2 linked regions of the Lonchura striata genome follow. The protein of the gene in region 2 interacts with the protein of the main gene of each other region in a biochemical or structural test. Links are inferred from orthologs where the notes say so. Each region holds a gene or a part of one and is shown on either strand. Other genes may lie near its edges. The genes, in order: PTGS2 and CAV1.

Region 1 (8,169 bases), on a different chromosome or scaffold from region 2:
CCCTCGCTCCAGCCATGCAGGCTCGGGCTGGAGCTGCACGCAGCAGCAGGGCTCTCACCGATCAGAATGAGCCGGGCGGTCTGGAAGAGCTGCTCGTCGTCCCACTCGGGGTGCTGGTGCTTGAGCACGTCGCAGACGCGGTTGTGCTCGCGCAGCCAGATCGTGGCGTACATCATCAGCCCTGGCACCAGCCCGAACACCTCCTGCCCCACGGAGAAGCGCAGGTGCTCGGGCACGTGCGGTGGGTACAGCATCTCTGCCTGCGTGTCCCGCACCGTCGGCGGGTACATTTCTCCATCGATCATCTGCGCGAGGGGGAAACAACAGAAGCTGTGAGCTCTGATACTTTGGGTAAGCTCTGACTCACACTTTAGATCACCTACACCATTGGCACAGCACTAATTTAGGAAATCTATGCCATCCAGTAAGAAGGTAGGAATTCTGAGCTAAGACATACCTGGTATTTTAGCTTTCCATCCTTTCGAAGCCTCAGTTTAAGTTGTCTCTCCAGAGTCTCTCCATAAACGTGGTTCAAGTCAACCTATAAAATAAAAGCATTTGGAACATGAAGCTAACCTGCATTTTTTTCTATTTTAGGATAAGTCCCTCTTCTATGGATAACAATAGGAGTTCACCCTCTAGATGTTTACCTTTCAATTATACTACTGCTACCTTATAAGTATCATGCACCGATATTTAAGATGAAGCCAAATTATTTCCTGGCAACTGGAGCCACCTCTGCATAAGAGGAGGTTGTTACATCAGTAATATAAAAGGACTCTGTTTAAAGTGTCAGCAATTTTTTATTATGCAGACAGCTTTCTATATATACACACACAATTTAACTTTGGTTTGGACATAAGAGTGACACTTATAGTAAAGAACTCTTTGTCCAAAGGATGCCTATCTTGCAGAGAAAATTTTAAATCCAAGTCTGCTTTTGAAGTTCTTTTTAAACTAAGGGTATTGGCGGTAAATAAGCAATACTTAAATGCTGGATACGGCTCTTTGGAACTGACAGAGTCCAGAGAAGTTTTGGATACTCACTACCATCTACTCACTACTATCTAACTGAAAGCAGATTTTTGGGAACAATAAGAGATCACTGGGCAGGTATTTCAAACAGAACCACTTGTGCAGAGCACGCGGTTCTGAGCCGGGAAGAGATGCTGCCGAACACTGGAATTTGGCCTGAGGAGCAGTTAGAAAGAGGTAATCCCACGGAATTGTGGCACAGTGTGTGCACAGGTGTTTGTGTCCCCTGGCAACAGAGGATGCCATTCTGGCCATTCCAGCACTCAGCAGCTCCCAAAGAGCACGAGTCCCGTCCCCAGCCGTGACCGTACCCCGTGGCCGAGCGCTCTGGTGAAGGCAGGACCCCGCTTCTGGTCCGTCTTGAAGAACTGGTGGGTGAAGTGCTGGGCAAAGAACGTGAACATCACGTTTGTGCCTTGCGGGTCGGGAATAAACTTTCTCCTCAGCAAAAACTTCTCCACGATCAGCTTCGAATCCGGGAGCTCTTTCTTACCTGTGGGAGAAACAGACAGTGAGATACTTAAGACAACCCTTTATGCAATACTGAAGTTTGTTCCTAAGAAAAGGGCTTAAGACCTTCAGTGGAACATAATGACAGTGGCATACAAACAAGGAGAATTACCTACTTTTCTAAGCTCGCTTTCTTGATTTTATTAGAAATTTCTAAATTCCCTGCTTTTAGCATGTAACTCAATAGCAAGAACCAGAATAATATCTTTTAGATATTTAAACAATATATGCAAAACATGGTTATTCCTGAAGTCAACTACACAGAAAAAAGGCTACAGACAAGCAGGTCTCATAGGAACTACTACTTATTTTTTCCTCTTAGAAAAGACCAAGCAATCATTACGTGTCTGGCTTATTTCTCACCTTTAACACCCATTGGAGTTGGGCAGTCAAGTCCTACTGGTGGAAGGCTTCTTGTGTAGTAGGAAAGATTGGAATAAGCTTCCCAGCTTTTGTAACTGTAGTCACTATTGTAAGTTGGTGGGCTGTCAATCAAGTGTGATCTTGCTGAAAGACAAATAAATATTTGGTTATTTTTAACTGTACAGTTTAGTCTCAAAAAGTAAATCACAAAGTCAGATCTTTTGCATATATTTGGCAGCAGGTGTAAATTCCACACATATCAGTTACTGATGTTAAATATGATTACAGTTACTGAATAACAGGACTGGATTCTGGCTGATCAGCTGGATCTCACTATTAACATGAGCAATGGGGCGCCAAGTTCATGTCGGCAAAATCCTGAACTCTTGCAGAAAGCAGAATCAAGCTGCACTTCAGCATGTTTCATACAAGCCTGCACCATGCAGAAATCTTAAATTTTGGTCTTTTAACTTCAGTGCAATTTAGGCTGCTTGGTTTGTAGACAGATCAATTCAGTACAATATTCTGAAGTAAAATTTAAGATGACTGGAAGAGACAATTTACACTTACACGTTAGTACATATCTCATAATAGCGTCCCTTAGGAAGGGAATGTTGTTGATGATATTCCAGACTCCTTGGAAGTGGGTGAGGATGTAGTGGACAGTGTTTGGCGATGGTTTCAGTGCTAGCCTCAGCCAGGTGAAGAATTCCGCTGCGAACGACAGTGGGCAGGTTATTATCATTTAGCTTATGGAGGCTATCCTGCGATGCTGGAATTGGCCAGCGCGTTTCATTCCCACGGAGAGGGGTGTGCGATACTCACGTGTGCTGCAGTTCTGCCCGTAGTAGCCTGTCCTGGTGCAGTCGCACTCGTAGCGATCCGGCCCAGCGGTCATGCAGACGCCTCTGTTCTGGCAGGGGTTCGAGCAGCAAGGGTTGGCTGCGGGGGAACCAGAGCTCGGGTTAGCATCTCCGCAATAATTCCCACCTTGTCAGGACTTCATACAGCAAACGAGAACGCCCTGGAGCTCAACGCTGATCAGGGAGGCATCACATCACAGCGACCATCCATCCACCTCTGGGCTACCAGGGAGCAGCTCGGAAAAAGTGAGGTATGCAGGGATTCACCTCTCGTCTGCTGCCAGCAATAACCCCGCTCAGAAGGCGAGATCATCCCTCACAGGCCAGCGGGGACCTGGCTCCCACACACAGCAGAGAAATGACAAGCGAGCGAGGAGCAGGAGAAGCAGAAAGGCAAAGCGCGCGTCGCCGCGGAGCGCGGCGCGGACTCACCGGCGCGGCCGGCGGCCAGCAGCGCGGCCAGCAGGGCCAGGGGCAGCAGCGGCATGGCGGGGCTGGGCTGGCGGGGCTGGCTCCCCGGGGCTCGAGCTGGCAGCTCCAAGTGCCGGCCTCCGCCGCGCATCCCCTATTTATGGCAGCGCCGAGCGGGGCAGGCTGACTCACTAGCCCGGAAGCGCGGGGAGAGCAGGGGATTTCTCGGCCCGCCCCGGCCCGCCCCGGCCGGCCGCGCTCGGGGCAGGTGTGAGGGCCGGGCTGGCAGCGGCTGAGGGGCGGCGGGGCGCTGGCCCCGCGCCGCGCCGCTCCCGGCTTCACCATCGCCTTAATTCAGCCGGCAGCGCTGCCAAGGGAAGGAATGCTGCAGGGACGTTAGTTTTAGTTGAGTTTCACGGAATTTAGCGTGTCTGGCGAGACCAGCTCCTGTTATTTGGCATTTTTGGCACAAATAGTGGCTTTCCCCCAGTACTTTTCCGTTAAATTCCCACTCTCCACCTCCTACCCCCCCTTATAGTTGCGCTGTAAACAAAATTTCCCCAATTTCCTTGAGGATACGTTATCTTTTGGTCATAGATTATTTTGTTATTAACCAGAATGCTTTGCTACTATTTTTAGTGCCTGTTGCGTGAGGGATTACAATGAAAGCAGGAGGATGTCATGCCGTTGTGCAACCCTGCAGTGCGGAGCTGCACTTTCGCCCTCCGGGTCGGCATTAAACACCAAAAACTCATAGTGGCTTCAGCAAGGATAGCTTGAGAGGCTGATGGTGTTTGAATTGCAAATCCGTGGCTTGACGGAAAGTGGATTCAGGCCGATTTAAACATAATCTTATTTTTGGCCCCAAAGCGTATTGTGGTCAGTGAGTAATTTGTGTACATTAGTAGTGAGTCTTTCTGGATGTTTTAAGACTGGTACACAAAAAGCTGCATAATCAAGAGAAGGCAGATAATATTTCTTTATACATTTGCATGCAGAAACCACGGGCTGGGTCATCAGAGGATGTCTGCCAACCCAGTTGAACTGGGAGCCTGTGGCCACAGCCACGTTTTGCTCAGTCTTATCAAGTGTAAAAAGGGTGATATTTTTTCTTGCATAAGCCAAATCAATTAAATATGGAATGTTGGTTATCCAGTGGATCAGGCTATGGCATGCATAGCACCGTAGCTCAAGGGTCTACACACATTTTCATACATTTCATATGTCCATCTCACACTGATTTTGTTCCATCTCACAAAACTTCTGCGGATGCTGTCACATGATAAGACTTTATTGCAAACATCAGGCAAGTGAGACATTGTGTTTAAATAACATGCATAGGAAAATGTTTCTAGAGTGTAAGACCAGCAACATTAAGGGGGAAACTGAAGTAATTCTGTGCAGCCAGACAACCGCCCCTAAAATGATAATCCAAAGGTAACTGTGCTATGATTTAGAGGAGATATAAATAAGTGATGATGCTTAAAGTTTTTAATTATTATAATTAATCAGTATGTAAACCAAGAGCCAGGGCAGAACTCCAGGCTTTGGAGGGGATGTTTCTCCTAGAGAAGCAGTACTTCTGCAACTAGAAAACCAGTCAGCACCCCCCCGCTTCCACCCAATGCTGCAGTTAATGTGACGTGATCTCTCTTGAGTCTGATTTTGGCTGGGGAAGGTCACTTGTGTCACTGTCACTGTCAGCTGCAGTAGAATTGAAGGGATTCTTCAGCTTTCCAAAATAGTGAAAAATCAGGGAGATACAATAGTGCTGCTTCTCAGAAGGCTGCCCTTCCCTACTTATTGCTTTGGGATTATCTTGGGTAAAGAACTGATTATATGTTGGAAAGGGAATTTTTCTCAGGAATGCAAGTTTGCTGTGGCAAGATTCACCACCAGGTGGAGATTTCATGCATCAACAAAGTGCTCTTTGCGTTTCTAGCACATAAACCATCTTTGCTAAGAATTAATGTTATTTTTCTTTCTGTTACTTGAAGTACCTTTTGGTCCAGGTCAGAGCAGCCTGTGGAACAGAGAACCTTCGTCAACCTCAGCCTTTTTGCATTTACTGACATTTCTACAGGAGGCAATTCCCTGAAGCTATTCCTGTTTCTATTTTAGGTTTAACTGCATAAATTCACACCTTTCCAAGGCAAAGGTTCAGGACAGAGGATGCAGTGACCTGTAAGGATTGACTTGCTTCAGTAATGCCACCAAAAGAAAGGGAGATGGAGTGGCAACAGGGAAAACATTGTCCCTCAGCACTGGTGCTGCTCCATTTTGCAATGGGTCAGCTGAACCCAGCTGAATTAGCACTGAATTTAGCCTTTTTAATGTATTTAAAATATTTTCCCTCCCTCCGTGACTGTGGCAATCTCATGTTTTATAGCACAGTACTTTCCTGGGAAATGAATCCGTTTCATTTGCTCTGTGCCTTTTTGCTGCTCTTTTTTGACAGAAGGAGCTCAATCTGAAATTTGTTGTCAGTTTGGATACGTTGCTCCCAATGCAAGCACAATCCAAGGCTCATTGGACAGGGATACAATGACAATCCTGGATGCTCCGACAACGTTCTCGAGAACTGAGGGATCTCCAGGGGAAGTTGATGTCTTTAGGCTCCTGATTTTGCCTTTTACAGTATTAACAGAAGGGTTTGATTATGAAATTGCTTTGTGCTTTCAGGGGATCACCCTGGCTAGACAACTAGGCTCTACTTCCCCGTGTCTTCCTGCTGTGTCCTTGTGGAGCACTCTGATCACTTGAGACCCAGTTTCATTGGCATCCTGGGTTGTGCTGGAAAACAAAAATACTCATTACCTGGTTTGGAGACAAGGGAGGTTTGCTTATTTTCCACAGGAAAATTGCAGTAAAAAGGTGCCTCGTTTATGGAGTTTCCAGGCTATCGCAATTTTGGAATTGTTCAGAACAATTCCAGGCAAAACTACGTATTAATATAGAGGGTGTGAGAGCTGGGAGCTGGAGTGCCTTGCCCTCAGGAGAAATCCCATGGACAGTGATTGGCAAGGAATGTTTGTGCATGGGCTGGGGCTGCTGGCACACACCTGTTGCAGGGGGAATAGGAAGGTGAGCTGGGACCTCACCTCAGGGGGACACCTGTGGACACCAGTCATTGTGTAGGGAAACGCAGCATACCTTGTTATCCAAATCAACTTCAGTTGGAGTTGTTTTTATTCCTGGAATTATATTTTTTAAAATGTGCAAGAAAAAAAAAATATAGGTGGGTGCACAAAAATCTACATCTGACTTAGGCAAGACCTGAGCAAGTTTGAGTCCCCCCCTTTTTTTATCCTTTTTAAGAGCAGCTTCCCTTTGGACTTCAGCTGCTGGAACAAAAAACATAAATCCACACTTTGTGTTTTATTTGCAAGCCAGTGAGAGTTTTGAGGAATGCTTTCCAATATGATAGATTTTATTTTATCATTAACATCTGCATAGAGTAAACCTTGCTCAACAAACCCTTTCCAAGCCTCTGTTTTTAATAACGTCTCTGAGTTCTTGTTTTAATTCTGTGGCATTCTTGACAGACTCAGTTACGAGTCAAAGACTGTAATGAAACAGGTGAGAAGAGTGACTTTACATCAGATTTACCTGCAGAGATGAGACGTGAAATGAGGTTTCTGTACAGTGCTGTGTGGTGCCCAGGTTTCTCCCAGCCTGTTTTTTTTTGCAAATTCTTTGCCAGGTACCTATATGATATCATGACTACAGGGCATCTGCACACTGCTTGGGACATGACACACATCAGTTTGAGTGGAAAAGAGCACAAGAATTGCTCCCTTTTGCCCAGCTTAAATGTGGATCTCTACCTGATCCGAAGCAAGGCTGAGCTCTTTCCCTGGGAGATGCCCAGACACTGAATCCTCATAATTTTAAATGAAAGGGAATGAATGAATGAAGCCCCTGCAGAAATGGCTTTCAGAACTGTGTTTTGTTTGTTCAGATGGGTGTATTAGACGATTCCTTTCCTAATTGTCACTCTTGGTAGTCACAACTTCAGTCCTGCCTGACTAGTCCTTGACAAACAAGCCCTAAATGACTTAAACTCAGCTCGAAGCTCTCTATGACCTTTATCCAAGGAGTGTAGATGAATGGAGGATGAAGCACAACATGTTTATCCTAAATGGTAGTTTGAGGCAGAGGCTGACTGAAAATTCATCCTAGCTACAATCTGTCCCATTTTTAAATTATTTTTTTAGATCACAAGACTTTAAATTAATTTTTATGGTGAATTTAAAGAGGAAGACCATAAACATGAACTATTGGATAAGCATAAGATTTTGGCAGCCACACTCTGGAATAGGCTTGTATATTTTTTTTAACTTTTATTAAATTTTGAATAATTTTTTCAGAGACTTTGTTTGGATACACTCATCTATGGGATTTTTTTTTTCCTATATAAGCTGTATCTGTTAAAATGGAAAATATTTTTCATCGTTTCTTGACTGAAGGAAAGGATGTTTTCTTTATTGGCAATTGTTATTGGCAATTGTTACCAAAGTTAAGCCATGAACTTCCCTGCTCCCGTGATCCTGGGTTTTTTGCAGAGGCCCTGTTTTTCCCCACACAGCCTCCATGTGTTTCGGATGTGGACATTTGATCACAGGCAAGTCTGAAATACGTCATGAGATTTTGTAACTGCCTTACATAAAGAAACGTCAGCTGACATTTTATCTGCTTTTGGTCACCAGCTGCAACTCACATTAAGGTAATTGCTTCTGCTGTGCCATTTTTAGTAAGTATTTAGCCTTTCATTGTATATTGAAAGGCTATCTTTCTGTGGGAAACCTGCACAGAAAACCCTCCTTAGAGAAATTTCCAAATACTTCTCTCCTCAGTGCAGATGCTTGAATTTTCTTTTAGCAACTTCCTGCTTAATTTTAGTGAAATCTGTCATCCAGCCTCATGCTCTTTTGTTGTGCAAATACAATCATGTGGAATTTTCCTTTGCTTCAAGTACATGGATATT
Region 2 (7,121 bases):
GAATGGCACAACATTCCTGTTTCCACACTTATGGAGAAAGTGAGGACACAAACCCTGAACAGGATGAAACATTGTTATGACAAAAGCCTATAGGCTCTTGCAAGCCTCTAAACAGCAGTCCAAAATGGGACCCTTTGAGGTCTCCTGGACTGCAGCAAGCTACAAACAGCAACCTCCCTCTGAGCGAGATGCCTCTCAGAGCCTCATGTATGGAGGATCACTGAAACAAGCTGTATCCTGGGCCAATATGCACGCTCCTCAAGGCCCAATCCTTTGCCCATTGGGAGATGCAAGAGCATCCAAAGTGAGTATTTGATTGATCTCTGGGGGGAATTTTTCACAGGCACCTTGCTTGCACTGACTCCTCATGTCCTTGTGCATGCCTCTGTGCATATGCTGTAGCAAATCAAAGAAATACTGCTTTCTTAGCTGTCTAAGTACCTTGGTTATCTAAGTAAGTTAGGCAAGTGAGGAAGGTTATGTTAAAAACTCACTTAAATGCTGTTAAGTATTGTTCTTTTGCTAAATTGTTAAACATAAGTTATAAGCTACGTGTTGCTAAGAGTTGTTCTTCTGATGAGTTGCTAACTTCAAAATTATGAATTAGGTTAAATGCTCTTCAGTGTTATTCTCAGTAAATTGCTACAGTTAGGTTAAGTTGTAAATTAAATTTAAGCTATAAAATAGGTATAAGTTAAGTGTTCTTCCTATGTTAAATTGTTAGGCTTAAGGTATAAGTAAAATTGGAGTGCTGTTAAGCTTTCAGGCCCTGTTCCTTTTTATCCTTGCCCACGCTATCTTTTGTCACACACACACCTAAGGGAGCACACACCCCTATATAGTTCTCAGTTCATTACTGTTTTGATTGCCTGGATTTTGTTTGGTTTTCTTGTTGCTTGTTTTCCCTTGTTGTGCCTTGGCTGTCCTATGAGTAGTAGAGTTAGTCTTGCCAATGAATTTTTCGTGCTTTGCCACTTAATATTAAATCTGATTTTTCGTCATATCCTTGCCGATGACTTTTTAACTGATCTCAAACACTCTCGTTCATAACACAAGGATTGTACAAATTTGTCTGTATAAATTCTTTTTCTACAAGAAAAGCAATCTCTGTGATATTTCTGACCAAAGTGACTTCAAGCAAAAATCTCCATCGACCCTGACTTGTCAAAACAGTCAAACTGATTTATAAACCCAAACAAAAAAAATCTAGGCAAGGGCACAGTTAGATTTTGCTTAGCTTGCTTATCATCTTTTGAAGGAAGGGAAAACACCAAAGAGAACAAAACAGAACAAGGACATGAATCCAACCGCCACTAGAATCTCTTGATTTTGCACCCGCCAGGCTTAGAGAGGGCGATCTGGTTTGTGACATCTCCCCGCCCTGCCTCTCTGCGTGCCTTGGGGAAGGAAAATCCTTCCGACGGTGTTACACAAGGTCACGCAACTCATCCCCCCGCTCCCCGGGCGGGACGTCCCGGCTGCAGAGCTGGCTGCCGGCACACACCGCGGGCACACACCGCGGGCACACACCGCGGGCACACACCGCGGGCACACACCGCGGGCACACACGCACCGCGGGCACACACCGCGGGCACACACCGCGGGCACACACGCACCGCGGGCCCCGCCCGGCTGCGGCGAGCCCAGCCCGGAGCGGCCCCGCGGGACAGCGCGGCCAGCCCGAGACGCGGCCGGCCCCGCTCCGCACCGCAGCGAAGAGCTCCGCAGGGCTGCCCTGGCCGCTGCACGCCTCTCTCATGCCCACTCCGCCTTTTCTTTAAAAAAAACCCCAAACCAAACAAAATCCGATCAGCCCCTAGCCCGTTCCCTCCTGTAGCAGGTGGAGGGATGTGGTCCGCGGGCTTCAGCCGTCCTGACAGTTCCCGCGTATCCTGCCTCGGCAGGACTTGGTATCGACCCCCGCGACACCCCGCCTCGCCCCCTCACCTTAACCACGTCGTCGTTGAGGTGCTTGGGGTCTCGGTTGACCAGGTCGATCTCTTTGGTGTGCACATCGTGCACCGCCTTTTCGCTCAGCTCATCTGCCATCATCTTGTTGTTGGGCTTGTAGATGTTGCCCTGCTCCCGGACGGGCGCAGTGTACAGAAAACCCTGCGGAGAGCAGAGGGAGCGCGGGCAGGAGGGGAGAGCCCAGTGAGGCGGGGAGAGGCGGGGAGGGGCGGGGAGGGCAGGGCAGGGCAGGGCCGCTCCGGTCCGCGCAGGAGGGCGGGCTGGGGAGGCGGCCCCGGGTCCCGCGGGCTCCGGGCTGCGGGGCGGCCTCGGCCGGCTATTTAACCGCGGCCGCGGGCGCACACCACACCCCCGCCGTGCCAGGCGCCGGCTCCCGCTCCCGCCGCCAGGCGGCCCCGGCCCCGCGGCGTTGCCCCGGGACGGAGCGAGTGGCCCCTCGCTGGGGTGGGCGCTGGCGTGGCCCCGCGGGCACGGCAGGGAGCGTCCGGGGCTCGCCGCACAGCGCCCTCCCCGTACTGCCCTCGCCCTACCGCCCATGCTGTGCTGACCTGGGCACGGCGCCTGTACCACCCTGACCTCACTATACTTGCCCCTCTCTCTATACCGCCCTTCATTCAGGGCCATCACCGTACCCTCTCCATCCCAGTGCTCTCGCTGTAGAGCTCTCCATACACCGCTCTTCCCGCACGACACCCAGCAGCTCCCCTCCCCGCGCCCCGCCGGGGACGAGCGCCCCGGCTTCCCCTGACCCGCCGCCCCGGCCCGCAGGTGCCCGGCCGTCCGCCCTCCTGCCGCCGAGCCACCCCTCGCCCCGCTGCTCCGATGGGTCAGGGAGCCTGGGGTCCGAGCCGCTGCAGGCAGTCGGCGGCGGGGCAGCATCCTAGCCCCATGGTCCGGTGGTCCTACCTCCGAGTCTACGTATTTGGTGCCGGACATGCTGCCGCGGGCTGCTGACGGCTCTGCCGCGAGTTACTCTGCCCTGTGACTTGTAGGACCGGAGGCAGGACGATTCCGCTGTGCGGAGCGACCGGCCGGGGGAGGTAGCTGCGAGGAGAGGGCTGGCCGCTGGCCAGGGCGGTCCCGGCCTCCGGCCGGGCTGGATGACAGCGGCGGTACGGCCCCGCACACGGCGGGCGGCCGGGAGCCGCCGGGGTGGGAGGGGAAAACAGCCCTGCCCCGGCAACCTGGGATCGGGCGGACCCAGGTCCGTGCGGAGACAGGGACTCGACGGGGAGAGGGACACGGTCTCCTCCGCGAAGTCCGCCCTGGTCCGGCTGCCCACGACCCCCACCCCCGTCAGTGGGACGCGACAGTGGCTGCGTGCGGCAGAGCCACCTGGGCAAGATGGGGGGGTGGAGGGGGTGGGGCAAGGAAGCAGTGAGGAAATGGAAAACTTTAATTGTGTTCAGCATCCAGAGCGAGCGAGGTGTTTGCCGGGCTCCCCTCTGCCGGCTTTGACAATAGTTTACACAGAAGCATCGCTGCTGTAGGAACAATTGTGAAAACTTGGATATACCTGGGATGAAGAAATAGAGATTTTTCTCAATTGGTTCATTTCAAAACTATTCAAATATTTAACACTTCTGCACGTTAACACTGCTCTATTTTTCCCGGGAAGAGATTGATCCATGCATGTCTGCCATGCACATTAACCACTGGGATTAACTTTTAAAGGGGAACAGTGTGACACCATTTTGCCATGCTCTGTTCTCAAGGCTTTTTGTAAGCTCAGGGGCATATGTAGATGTACATGGTATAAATATAAACATTCATCACCGTATTCAAGATGGCTAAGGTTAGTGTCGCAGCATTACTTTACATTTAAAAAATGAATTATATTTCATTTTTTTTGTGTGAATGTGTTTGCAGCTAATAGTGTTGTGTTAGGAAATCAGACTATGGTGAAAGATTTATAACATTAACAGAAAAATTGTGACCTTAGTGTTATGCCATTTAGCACAGAATTGCAGCAGAAAATTCCTAACTGCAGTATATTTGGCTTTGGCGCTTCAACAGAGAAATGACCTCGAAGAAGCCCCTGGCTAAGATGGATTTAGGTGCCACAGATGTAAATAACTGCACCTGTTGGAAATGCAGTCCACATGGACATGTGTTGCTGATACATTGGTAAGCAGTCAACTTTCCTTTATATTGCTTGTAAACTTTGGAACAAATGCCTTGGATGGAAGATTTCCAACTTTCCAAGTTAGTTGTAATTTTTAAAAGTAACTTTTTATTGATGCAATAATTCACTTAAGCCATTGTTAGAATATTTTTGCCTGTCCAAGCTTTTTAGCGTGAATATGCACCCAAATGAGTGTATTAAAGGACACAGACCCTGCAATTTTTCCATCCATCTGAAAAAAAAATTGCAAGACAGTTCTTTGTTTTCATATCCAGGAAATTTTTCAATTAGTCACTGTCTTCCATATGAATCAGAACATTTTGATCCATCATTTAATATGACTCTATATCTCAAGAATGACTTTAAAGAAAGAGAAATAAGAGAGATACTTGTCAATTTGAAATGCTGAATTGATCCTGGAATAGTTTTTCAGAACCACAGTCCCCTTTAAAAAATATTTCTGAATCACACAACACTACTGCAGCTAGAATAATATCATAAACTAGTGGAATTTGTAAGTTTTATGAGATGAATTCCAGAATAGGCTGCATACAAAGTGAAATGAACATTAGCAGTGCTTTCTGGAGCTGGAATATCAAGAGGATAGGCTATTTAGAAAAAGGTATGGGTACTACTAAGCAGTAAGAGTGAGCAAGTTACATCTGCAGAGATGGAAAGGGATGAAGCCATGGCCTGTTGCCTCTAGCACTGCTGCATGAGAAATACACACTAACTCAACAGCCAGAGACCTGTGGCATGGATGCACACAGGTACAACCAACTCCTATGGCATGAATGCACACAGGAGTTCTGCAAGGATCCCCTGTTACACTCAGAGGAAGAGTAATAGCTCAATGGGAAAGAGCCTTGCAGAAATGTTCTGAAAGTGCAAAGGCTCCATTCCCCTTCTCAGTTACTATGAATAGATTATCCAGGGGTGGCCAGAAATTACCAGAAATTGTAAACACTCAAACTGGCCTTTGAAACACCAGCCAGTCTTCTCATGGAGCTTTGCTGTGTCTTTAGTAGTCCAGGTCAATTGCTAAGCAGGACTACATGACACCTTGGTTGGCCACCTCACTGCCTTTCTTCATCACGCCAGCCTTACGCATTTCATACCTATTTTAAAGAAATTTTTATTGCTTCAAAACCTTTTTACTGAAATTTCAAACCTCAGGATTACCTTAGTTAAAAACTTGCTCTAAACCTGGAGCAATGTGCAATTTATGATTTTTTTTTTTCCACTTTGAGGGGAGAAAAAGTTTTGTTACGGGTAGTATTCCCAGAAACCAGTGGGGGAAAAAAAAAGGATTTAACAAAACCCCTCAAAAACTGGCAGAAAATTAGTTATGAAACTGACTTGAATGTGGATGACTGCTCACTGTCTTTGTCAGGTAACAAACACTCCTTCTTTCTCCATTCCTCACCCCCCTTTTTGTTTTAAGCTTGTGTAGTTATTCCAGTTATGGTATTAGCAACACTCCTGATATATTCCAATGTCAGCAAGATCGAAATCAACCCTGGGAAACTGTTTCCTTTATGTATAGTTTCAACACCAACAAGGCTGTCAGGTAACAGAGGCAGTCCATGAGCAGCCTGCCTTACGCAGAGCACTTAAAAACCTGAGGCTTAGGAGTGAAAGATCATTGCTTGTGTGTCTTCTGTTCAACTCTTAACCACATCATTTTATGTATGGTTTTGTATGTTTTGCTGGATAAAAGCCTTAGCTGCCAAAACTGTTGGTACTGAGTTTTTAGCAGTCTTGCTACTGTTTTCACCCTGTTGTGCATGATAACAAGCATTAGGATAGGATTAGCATGCAGGCCAATGTTTTCCTCATTCCATTATTTAAAGACTTGTAGTCCTAGAGGATTCATGGTGGTCATGCCGCCCCCACTCTCTGGAGGGGTTCTGTATTTTAAAATGTAAATCACTGGATCAGAATTTTCCTATAGAGACAGGTTCCCCTCACCCTAGTATACAGGGCTGCAGGTTCACGTACACATTTGGTATTTGGCCTGTTTGTGCCATTAATCCAAGGATTAGTTATAGCTGGAGAGATGGGTAGCTCTTCTCACATTCCTTCTGTCTCACAACTTCTAGATAGGAGTGATTTCATTTTATGTGCAAGTGATGCTGCCACAAAGCATTTCACAATAGCCTAAGGGCTAGAAGACTCAAGCCAACACCTGAGAAACCTGAAATCAATTTTTGCCTGAGGCATGCCACTGCATTTGGACTCACTCCTGGGAAACTGTATTTTGGGAAGTACCTTATTCTGCTGATACACAGTTAAGTATATTTTGAGGAGTCTAAGGCCCCCCTTTTGGGGTTCTGACTGGGCTTAGATGAGAAAGATGCCAAGTTGCTCAAATAAGGGCAGTTCTGGGCATGACAAAAGTAAAACTGTAGGCATTGTGGGGGGTTATGGGAAAGGGAGGTGCCTTTTGAGTTCAGACATGTTCCTGGTGGGTGGCAGCTGGGCAGGGATTACAGTTTTGGATCAAAATGCATGGCTTTTTCTGCTCTCAGTCTTTTATTAGAGCTAGCCCCTGTAGGTCTTTATCAAGATAGCTTGTAACTGCCTTGACTGGAGAGGCAAATAGATAGAAAGCTTTATTTCTGCAAGACTGTAAAACTTAGTCACTCATTCTCAACCCTTTTCAGTATCAAATACCTTGAAAACTGAGCTGGTCTGTGAACAGTGGTCTATGTCAATGCTGGTCTGTACCTTTCTTCTAGTTCTACAGTATTATTAAATGTTCATGTGTTTTATAGAAAATGTCAGACTATGAGAACTTGTCTCATTAATGGGACTTAACTACCCACTCCTTAAGGCTTATGTAGGATGGGCTTTTTGTCACTGCTTCTCTGCTTCTCTACCTAAGCATTGCCTGGGCAAAACCCTAGCTGATAAAGTTGTGATAGCTCTAATACTGTAAAATAAAAAAGCAAAATCAGGTACATAGGGTGAAAAGGCAGGTCTTACTGAGCTGAGACTGTTGGAAAAATAGACAAGCTTTCCT

What was found.
Region 1: the proteins of CAV1 (region 2) and PTGS2 form a complex in vitro, tested with the Homo sapiens proteins (2 studies listed by BioGRID). The link is inferred for Lonchura striata from reciprocal best matches to the Homo sapiens genes CAV1 and PTGS2.

The regions. Positions count from the first base shown.
Region 1 is NC_134611.1:28,632,268-28,640,436, forward strand, and holds the start of PTGS2 (prostaglandin G/H synthase 2), read right to left. Parts: upstream 3,253-8,169; 5' UTR 3,204-3,252; intron 2,851-3,203; 5' UTR 2,807-2,850; coding exon 2,734-2,806; intron 2,623-2,733; coding exon 2,479-2,622; intron 2,053-2,478; coding exon 1,909-2,052; intron 1,529-1,908; coding exon 1,347-1,528; intron 542-1,346; coding exon 458-541; intron 306-457; coding exon 59-305; intron 1-58. UniProt on the Homo sapiens protein: Dual cyclooxygenase and peroxidase in the biosynthesis pathway of prostanoids, a class of C20 oxylipins mainly derived from arachidonate ((5Z,8Z,11Z,14Z)-eicosatetraenoate, AA, C20:4(n-6)), with a particular role in the inflammatory response.
Region 2 is NC_134607.1:34,682,966-34,690,086, forward strand, and holds the start of CAV1 (caveolin-1), read right to left. Parts: upstream 3,032-7,121; 5' UTR 2,908-3,031; coding exon 2,878-2,907; intron 2,113-2,877; coding exon 1,948-2,112; intron 1-1,947. UniProt on the Homo sapiens protein: May act as a scaffolding protein within caveolar membranes. Forms a stable heterooligomeric complex with CAV2 that targets to lipid rafts and drives caveolae formation. Mediates the recruitment of CAVIN proteins (CAVIN1/2/3/4) to the caveolae.